2 linked regions of the Nothobranchius furzeri genome follow. The protein of the gene in region 2 purifies or fractionates together with the protein of the main gene of each other region. This does not show direct contact. Links are inferred from orthologs where the notes say so. Each region holds a gene or a part of one and is shown on either strand. Other genes may lie near its edges.

Region 1 (4,211 bases), on a different chromosome or scaffold from region 2:
ATAATATTGGGTGTGAACGTTTTCTAAAAGTGGAAGAAAACAAAAACGTGTTAGGTTTTAGACAGTGTACAATAAAATCAGCTTCTGTTGCATCTTTAGTCATCACTTGTCCCTAGAAGCCACGAGTTTTTAACAAATGATTGGTTTTTTGTCTTGTCATTTTCGTATAGATTAATCTCAGTGATATAAATAAATAAATAAAAGACATAAATACTAAATTGAATGAACATTTTCCCCTTGATGCAAGTTGTTTGTTTTTAATAAACAGTTCAAACCCATAGAGTAAACAACCCGGTGTGTGAGCAAATGTCAAAGATGGAAGCAGCTCCCTTTTGGTAAACAGCTTGAGTAAACACTAAGCCAGTGTTGGGATCATAACTGATCCACAGCGTATTAATCGTCCTACGAGTATCAGGTAAGCTTTCTTTGTTCACATTATATTAGAAATAAAGAATTTTAAAGAGCATCATTATTTCTGATTATTATGGGTCACTGAATTTTTCATGCAGGCTGATCATGAAAAAGTCTTCTACACGATAGAAAATAGACAGTAAAACTCTAGGGTGTGAAAAGCCTGACAGATCTACGTCACACTGTCGCTTCACATTCATGGAGCTAGCCCCTATGTCCCAAGCCGTTGAGAACCTGCAGCTCCTGCCTGTGGACATGGAGAGCACGCTAAAGAGGATCAACCCCAACAAGGCCTCAGGACCAGGCAGGATCTCTGGTCATCTGCAGTCAGCTGGCGGGAGTTCTCTGCTTCCTGTTTAACTGCTCGCTAGCTGAGCACTCCATCCCCTCCATCTGGAAGTCCTCTATCATCTGCCCCGTGGCAAAGCAGAACAACCCAGGCATCAACAGCGACTTTGGACCTGTAGCTCTGACATCACTGATTGTGAAGACCTTTGAGAGGCTCGTAATGGCCCAGCTGCTGGTTGATGTGGGTGCATGTTTGGACCCAATGCAGTTTGCATACCAACCACACAGAGGGGTGGATGATGCTCTACTAACTATGCTGCATGAGACCCTCACCCACCTGGAACAGCCAAAGTCACATATCAACCTGGTCTTTGTGGATTTCTCTAGTGCATTCAACACAGTCCAGCCACATCTTATGGGATGTAAACTGCTGAACCTGAATGTTAACTCCCATCTCATCCTCTGGGTCCTCTCCTTTCTCACGAGGAGGGAGCAGAGGGTCAGGGTTAACGGCCATCACAGTACTGTCAGGTCACTCTCCACTGGTTCCCCACAAGGTTCAGTCATCTCTCCACTTCTGCTCATTTTATACACCAATGACTGCAGGAGCACAACCCCAGGAATCACTGTTATCCAATCTGAGGATAAATGTCCAAGTATCAGGAACTAAGACTCCAAAACCTGCTGTCTGAAGCGCAGCTGTGATGTGGGTAACTTCAGTTCCTGGTAATGGTGCACCAGTGTATTGTTTCCCCCTGACTTTCGACTTCCTACTATAAACCACTACAAATAACTATACTTTAATAAAAGACCTGGTGCAGTACCTTTTTTACTCCCCCCAGTGTGAGGTCTCTTGACCTCATGGAAGGGAGGCGACCTGGAGAGATTCCCGATGGTGGTCGGCGGCCCATCAGCAGTCCAACGTTACTGCTGCCTCCAGGAGTCGCCATTCGCTGATTACTGGTGTCACTTGAGTCAGCCATTTTGAACTAAATAAAGTAGGAGATACAAATCAACCTTTTTCACTTGGAATTATTTCTACTGGTATCTGTAGTCATCGTGGACACAACAAAGACTCTTTTTGTAGAAAATATCTAAAAATCACAGATATTTTTGTCTGCATTGGCACCTATTTCTAACGACATTCTGATGGATTTTGTAGCATTTAAAAGCAACATATGAATGCAGGTATTACATCTGGATGCACATCTACATCCACACTGGACTGTTGATGCTTTGCATCTGAGATCTACACATCCTTATCGTAAAAATATCTAATTACTATGTGCAGCCCTAAAATATTGTGTACTTTATATTATAATATTAAACATTGGGTTCAGACTGAAAACCAGTTCTCTCTTTTCTGGATTACAATGGGGATTATGCTAATTAAATGCATCTGTTTACATTCCTCTGTTGGTTTTACTGTTGATCTTATTGACGCTGTTTTAATCACGTTGCTTATATAGATGTTTTTTTAGCCATGGCCTGTGGCTTTTGTCTTTCAGCACCCCATCATTGGAAGCTGATGTGATATGAAGACATGCTAACGAATAGTGAAGGATTGATTTAACTTTATTGTTTAGCTGGGAACAAAAATTGTTTGCATTTATAAAAGTGGCACACAAGTACTTTCAACTTGTCGTTTTAGGCCTGTTTAGCTAAATATTTGGACACTACTAATGAAGGAGTTAACTAGTGCAGTGAAGTCATTTCAGCTGGGTCTCCAAATGACTTAACTTTCTTCACTTGCAGTCAGACTACTGGTTACCACTGAAAACTTTCCTACGGTTAAACTGGTTTTCGTTTCTCTTAATCTACCGTCCCACTACGAAAAAAATACTTAATTCCAGCTAGAAATGAACAAACCGCCAGCACGTGGACATAATGATACAGCACTAGTTCGCTAACCTTCATCATTAGAGAAGAAAAAGTGATATTTAAGCTTTTTCCAGATCCTTACCTGATTTCTTCTTCCGGGGTCTTTATTCTATGTTTATTCACGGTCTGCGAGTCATAATAAATGAACCTTAGCTAGTTGTGTTTCTGTTTCTGAGCCAGCTAGTTGTGTTTCTGTTTCTGAGCCACTGTGCTGCACGACGCCATGACACCTCTGCGTTGTTGTTCCGTTCGGAACGCGCATGCGCAGAATGAGGCGCATGGCCGCAGGCTGCAACGCGGGCGGGGCAACGCGTCTGGGTCACAGTAAAGGAAAGAATGAAAGGAGAAAGGACAGGCAGAAGAGAGAGCGTCAGTATGTCGCACAGTTATTCTCAAAGGAAGGTGGGTTTAGTTAGTGATTGGTTAAATTCAACCTGTTAGCTAGCTTTGATATCCACAATGAGAGGAACTATGTTTCATCTAATTATGGTAAATGGGTTGCTGTCCTTGTCCTTATAGAATCAGCAGCTGGTGATATGTCAGCAGGTGACTCCTCACAACCCAATGAACCTCACGAAGGTGAATGTAGCATGTTAGTTAGCAGCCTCATTTAAGGGGGTCTGTGGGAATCACTTAAGGCTCTCTTCTCTATCAGTACTATTACGAAGGAATATAAAAAGGCTATTTTTGGTGATAAACACATTGTTTTTCCACATAATGATAATTATATATATCAATCAGTAAAAATGTATAGATTGTTGTTGATGCTGGGCAGGTTGAAGCATTGTTATTTAGTCTGTTAATGTAACATAAATTACTGTGAGATTATTAATGTGAAGCACCTTTTTGAAGGCACCATACAAGAAAAAAAAACTCTTCATCTACTAAATACCTTGAAATGAAATGTTTTGAATCTGACTGAATTATGGGAGGTTTTACAAGATATAATTTGTTTATGTAGCTTTGAGAACACAAACCAAAAATCAGTCATTTCCAAATAAATCATCAGAGAACAAAAATGAAACAAAAGCTATTAATAATTGTAATAAATAAACGTAATATAACATTGAACACAATAAAATGACATCTAGTATTGATCGTTATCGAGCATTATTAATTATATCACTGTAAATAATAAATCTTGCTGTGTACAATCAAGGCTGAATATATTTTTAGCAGTTTTTTTGTTGAGAAAAATGGGTGTCTAGAGACTTATATAGGTTGTACCGTTATGAATCTTATAATGGTCTGCCTTAACAGCTGCCCCTTCACACAGTAACATCACCAAGGTCGGACGCTTGGTTCAGTATGTTTACATTCCAGGAGAAGAGACAGAAGAAGAGAAGAAGAACGCTTTTCATTGATTAATCAAAGTACTTTATTTGTGATAAGCTAATCAAAGCACTTTGTGTCTGAAATGCTTTTCAGCTCTCCTGCATGAAGTCCTGGTGAAACAGGAAATAATCCTTCAGCAGCAGCGCGGCCTCACCAAAATGGTGCAGGACCTTTTGTTGCTGTTGCTGCTCTTCAGGGCCTGACCACAGGGGGAAGTGTGGAGACCAGGCACCATGGCATCTACCCCTTGGCAGATGTTCAGGCCCTGATGGCCCTGGAGAGGTGAGCTTTTTTCT
Region 2 (4,102 bases):
GTAAACAGAGAGCCCAAACCTCAAACATCAAAAGATCACACACACTACGAGATGATGGAAGAGTGCAAAAAATGTCTCACCGAGATGGTCGATCATCCTGAGGATTGTACTCTCCATCATCCGGTGTTCCATCTTCATACAAAGTACTGGCAATCACCAGTCTAAACTTGTCACCTTTATAATATGTTATAAGTCAGATTTTTATTGTATTAAGAATTAACTAAATAAGAGTGCCCTCGGTAAAAGGGCTTACGCTCTCACCAAGATCCACAGGATAGATCTGAATGTTCACGTCCAAGATGAGGTCCATCTTAAAAGATTCACTCTCACAGTGCAGACGAGACACTGCAATAGGTGAGAATTTGTCAGTAGATTATAAACATTGTCTGCTGTAGGTTATACAGGTGCTGGCCAGTAAATTAGAATATCATCAAAAGGTTGAAAATATTTCAGTAATTCCATTCAAAACGTGAAACTTGTACATTATATTCATGCAATGCACACAGACCAATGTATTTCCGATGTTTATTACGTTTAATTTTGATATTTATAGGTGACAACCAATGAAAACATCAAATCTGGTATCTCAGAAAATTAGAATATTCTAAAGGCCAATGAAAAAATGTTTGTTTCTCTAATGTTGGCCAACTGAAAAGAATGAACATGAAAAGAATGTGCATGTATAGCACTCAATACTTAGTTGGGGCTCCTTTTGCCTCAATAACTGCAGTAATGCGGCGTGGCATGGACTCGATCAGTCTGTGGCACTGCTCAGGTGTTATGAGAGCCCAGGTTGCTCTGATAGTCGTCTTCAGCTCCTCTGCATTGTTGGGTCTAGCGTATTGCATCCTCCGCTTCACAATACCCCATAGATTTTCTATGGGGTTAAGGTCAGGCGAGTTTGCTGGCCAATCAAGGACAGGGATACCATGGTCCTTGAACCAGGTGCTGGTGGTTTTGGCACTGTGTGCAGGTGCCAAGTCCTGTTGAAAGGTGAAGTCTGCATCCCCATAAAGTTGGTCAGCAGCAGGAAGCATGAAGTGCTCTAAAACTTCCTGGTAGACGGCTGCATTGACCCTGGACCTCAGGAAACAGAGTGGGCCAACACCGGCAGATGACATGGCACCCCACACCATCACTGACGGTGGAAACTTTACACTGGACCTCATGCAACGTGGATTCTGTGCTTCTCCGCTCTTCCTCCAGACTCTGGGTCCTTGATTTCCAAAGGAAATGCAGAACTTGCTTTCATCAGAAAACATAACTTTGGACCACTCAGCATCAGTCCAGTCCTTTTTGTCCTTGGCCCAGGCGAGACGCTTCTTGCGCTGTTTCTTGTTCAAGAGTGGCTTGACACACGGAATGCGACACCTGAATCCCATGTCTTTCATGAGTCTCCTCGTGGTGGTTCTTGAAGCGCTGACTCCAGCTGCAGTCCACTCTTTGTGGATCTCCCCCACATTTTTGAATGGGTTTGTCGTCACAATTCTCTGCAGGGTGCGGTTATCCCTAGAGCTTGTACACTTTTTTCTACCACATTTTATCCGTCCCTTCGCCTGTCTGTTAATGTGCTTGGACACAGAGCTCTGCGAACAGCCAGCTTCTTTAGCAATCACCTTTTGTGTCTTGCCCTCCTTGTGCAAGGTGTCAATGATTGTCTTTTGGACAGCTGTTAAGTCAGAAGTCTTCCCCATGATTGTGGTGCCTTCAAAACAAGACTGAGGGACCTTTTAAAGGCCTTTGCAGGTGTTTTGAGTAAATCAGCTGATTAGAGTGGCAGCAGGTGTCTTCTATATTCAGCCTTTTCAGAATATTCTAATTTTTTGAGATACCAAATTTGGAGTTTTCATTAGTTGTCACTTATGAATATCTAATTTAAATGTAATGAACATTGGAAATACATTGGTCTGTGTGCATTGCATGAATATAATGTACAAGTTTCACGTTTTGAATGGAATTACTGAAATATTTTCAACCTTTTGATGATATTCTAATTTACTGGCCAGCACCTGTATAAACTAAATCCAATAAGCAAGTTGGTTTTTTAACTGCTCTCTTAATGAGCTGAATGTCTTTCAATTTTATATTAGCTTTTAACTTCAGGATGCCAGATTTTCTTTAACATCACTATGTAAAGTCTGCCTTAACGTGGGCAAATAAAAACGTAGAATAAATGATTACTCATGAGTCAATATACCTGTGCATTATGTCAATACGACAAAAACAATATGATGGAATAATTAAATAAGTCACCCCAATACGTTATTGTACTTCATAAGTACCTCTGTCAAACTTCTTGCCATCTGGATCAATGTCTTTCACATCAAAGATATCTTCAAACAAAATTCCAGCCATCGTTGGCCCACTCTGTGAATTTGTGCAGGGGATCAAATGTTTAAGCCCCTGTTATGACTTGAACAACCTGTCAACAAAAAATAAAACGTAATAAACTATAGTAACTTTTAAAAAGCAATGAAACGTTAGGTAGCACAAGAAATCAACTGCTATAAGCATATTACCATAAAATACTTTTATATAAAAATAAGACTAGGACATACGTCAGTTAAAGTTGGCAAGTTTTATCTTCCACGTTGAATCTCCTATTTTGGCTAACAGCTAGCTTTAGCATACTGTTAATTCATTTGTTGCACTTACCCCAAATTATTTTTAGATGTCGTAATGCAAACACAGAAGCCTCGCAACTACTCGATTCTTTAGGACAACAGCGACTGTTCAAAACATAAGCTAGATTTGTTATTTAAGAGTAATTTAATTCATTGCTATCTAGCCAATCTGTGGCGCGCAGAAACAACGTGATTAACCTTTGACACGGGAAGTACTTCTCATAAAACAAAATAAAATGAAAAAATAAATGTTTATGTTAAAAAGCAAAGTAAAACATAAGAAATTGTAAAAATATAATACTCGTACTAAAATAATAGTTTTACCATTAAAATTGCATAATGTATCCTAAAAAAGGTCAACAATTACGTTTGTCTGTGCGTTGTTATAATTTACAATCGTTTACTTTTGTTTTTCTAAATCGCATGCCTCATAACTTAAGGTTATTCAATATATTTTCTTGTAAAATATAATACATTTAGTTAGTTTTAGTTTACGACACTCACATTTACTTTCCGGTGACCCTCTGGTTGCTAGGTATTTTTAGCGTCCCTCCTGTTTGTGGTTGCCAGCTATTTTTTCGTTCACTGTCCGACAAAGCGAGCAAAAATGTACTTTATGGATCTCGTTTACTTGTTAACGCATCACAAACTTGTTTGTACGTCAATTCTCCCAAATCAAATTACGTGCGAATAAGGTAGGAGCCATGTTAATGTCCTGTCGTGTGTCAACTAATTAGATAGCTTGTAGCTTCATAAGTTGTTGCTAATCTTGATGTTAAACCATTTAAGATGGTATAAAACCCCACATGCCTGCCGAAGTTACACTAGCATTCCGTTGTGCGTTTTGGTGTTTGGTTATTTTTACTACTGCTCATAGAATTAAGTTTTTACTTATGTATTTTGCTCTTTTGTTCTTGCACCTTTTAGCTTGAACCCTAGATCTATAAACGTTTTTGAATGAAAGCAGAAATCGTTCCCGTCTAAAGGGGTATTAAATGTTTTCGGTACACACATGAGTTCCAGTGAGGAAGCCAAGATGGGGGACGTCTTGGCAACAGAAGCTGATCTTCTTGGGATGATCAAAGAGGTAGAGAAGATATCTGGGTCACAGCAATATTGATGTTCGCTGAAAATGAATGAAATGCACCAAAACTCAGTGTCATCCTTCACTGTTTAAGTTGAATCATGTTTGTTTGTTTGTTGCAGTACCTCACGTTTGAGGAGTTTGAGGAGACTGTTCAGGTTTTTGACAAGGAATGCAAAAGGAAAGGCAAGCTGGTCTCAAAACCGAGAGGAAATGCTCTAAGAGACTCTAAGACTCGTGTCATTCAGGTAAACAATGCTCTTCTTCAACATGGAAATCTGCTATGTTGGTGTGTTTTCTGTCATAGTGGGGAGACGTTTATGTAGTTCCAGTAATCCTACAAAAGGACGTACACAGCCTAACAAGTATGCAAATGCCAAGATGGTCCAGCTGA

The links. The genes of interacting proteins can lie anywhere in the genome.
Region 1: the proteins of polr2h (region 2) and polr3d purify together in Homo sapiens (affinity purification with mass spectrometry; 4 studies listed by BioGRID and IntAct, with this or other methods). This does not show direct contact. The link is inferred for Nothobranchius furzeri from reciprocal best matches to the Homo sapiens genes POLR2H and POLR3D.

What each region holds. Positions count from the first base shown.
Region 1 is NC_091757.1:39,754,483-39,758,693, reverse strand, and holds the start of polr3d (DNA-directed RNA polymerase III subunit RPC4), read right to left. Parts: upstream 2,819-4,211; 5' UTR 2,663-2,818; intron 1,689-2,662; 5' UTR 1,683-1,688; coding exon 1,524-1,682; intron 24-1,523; coding exon 1-23. UniProt on the Homo sapiens protein: DNA-dependent RNA polymerase catalyzes the transcription of DNA into RNA using the four ribonucleoside triphosphates as substrates.
Region 2 is NC_091748.1:62,882,955-62,887,056, forward strand, and holds the start of polr2h (DNA-directed RNA polymerases I, II, and III subunit RPABC3), read right to left. Parts: upstream 2,829-4,102; 5' UTR 2,656-2,828; intron 2,423-2,655; exon of another isoform or gene 2,368-2,422; 5' UTR 2,356-2,367; coding exon 2,283-2,355; intron 346-2,282; coding exon 262-345; intron 175-261; coding exon 81-174; intron 1-80. Other genes in the region: lisH domain-containing protein ARMC9, read left to right, coding at 3,637-3,711, 3,831-3,956. UniProt on the Homo sapiens protein: DNA-dependent RNA polymerase catalyzes the transcription of DNA into RNA using the four ribonucleoside triphosphates as substrates.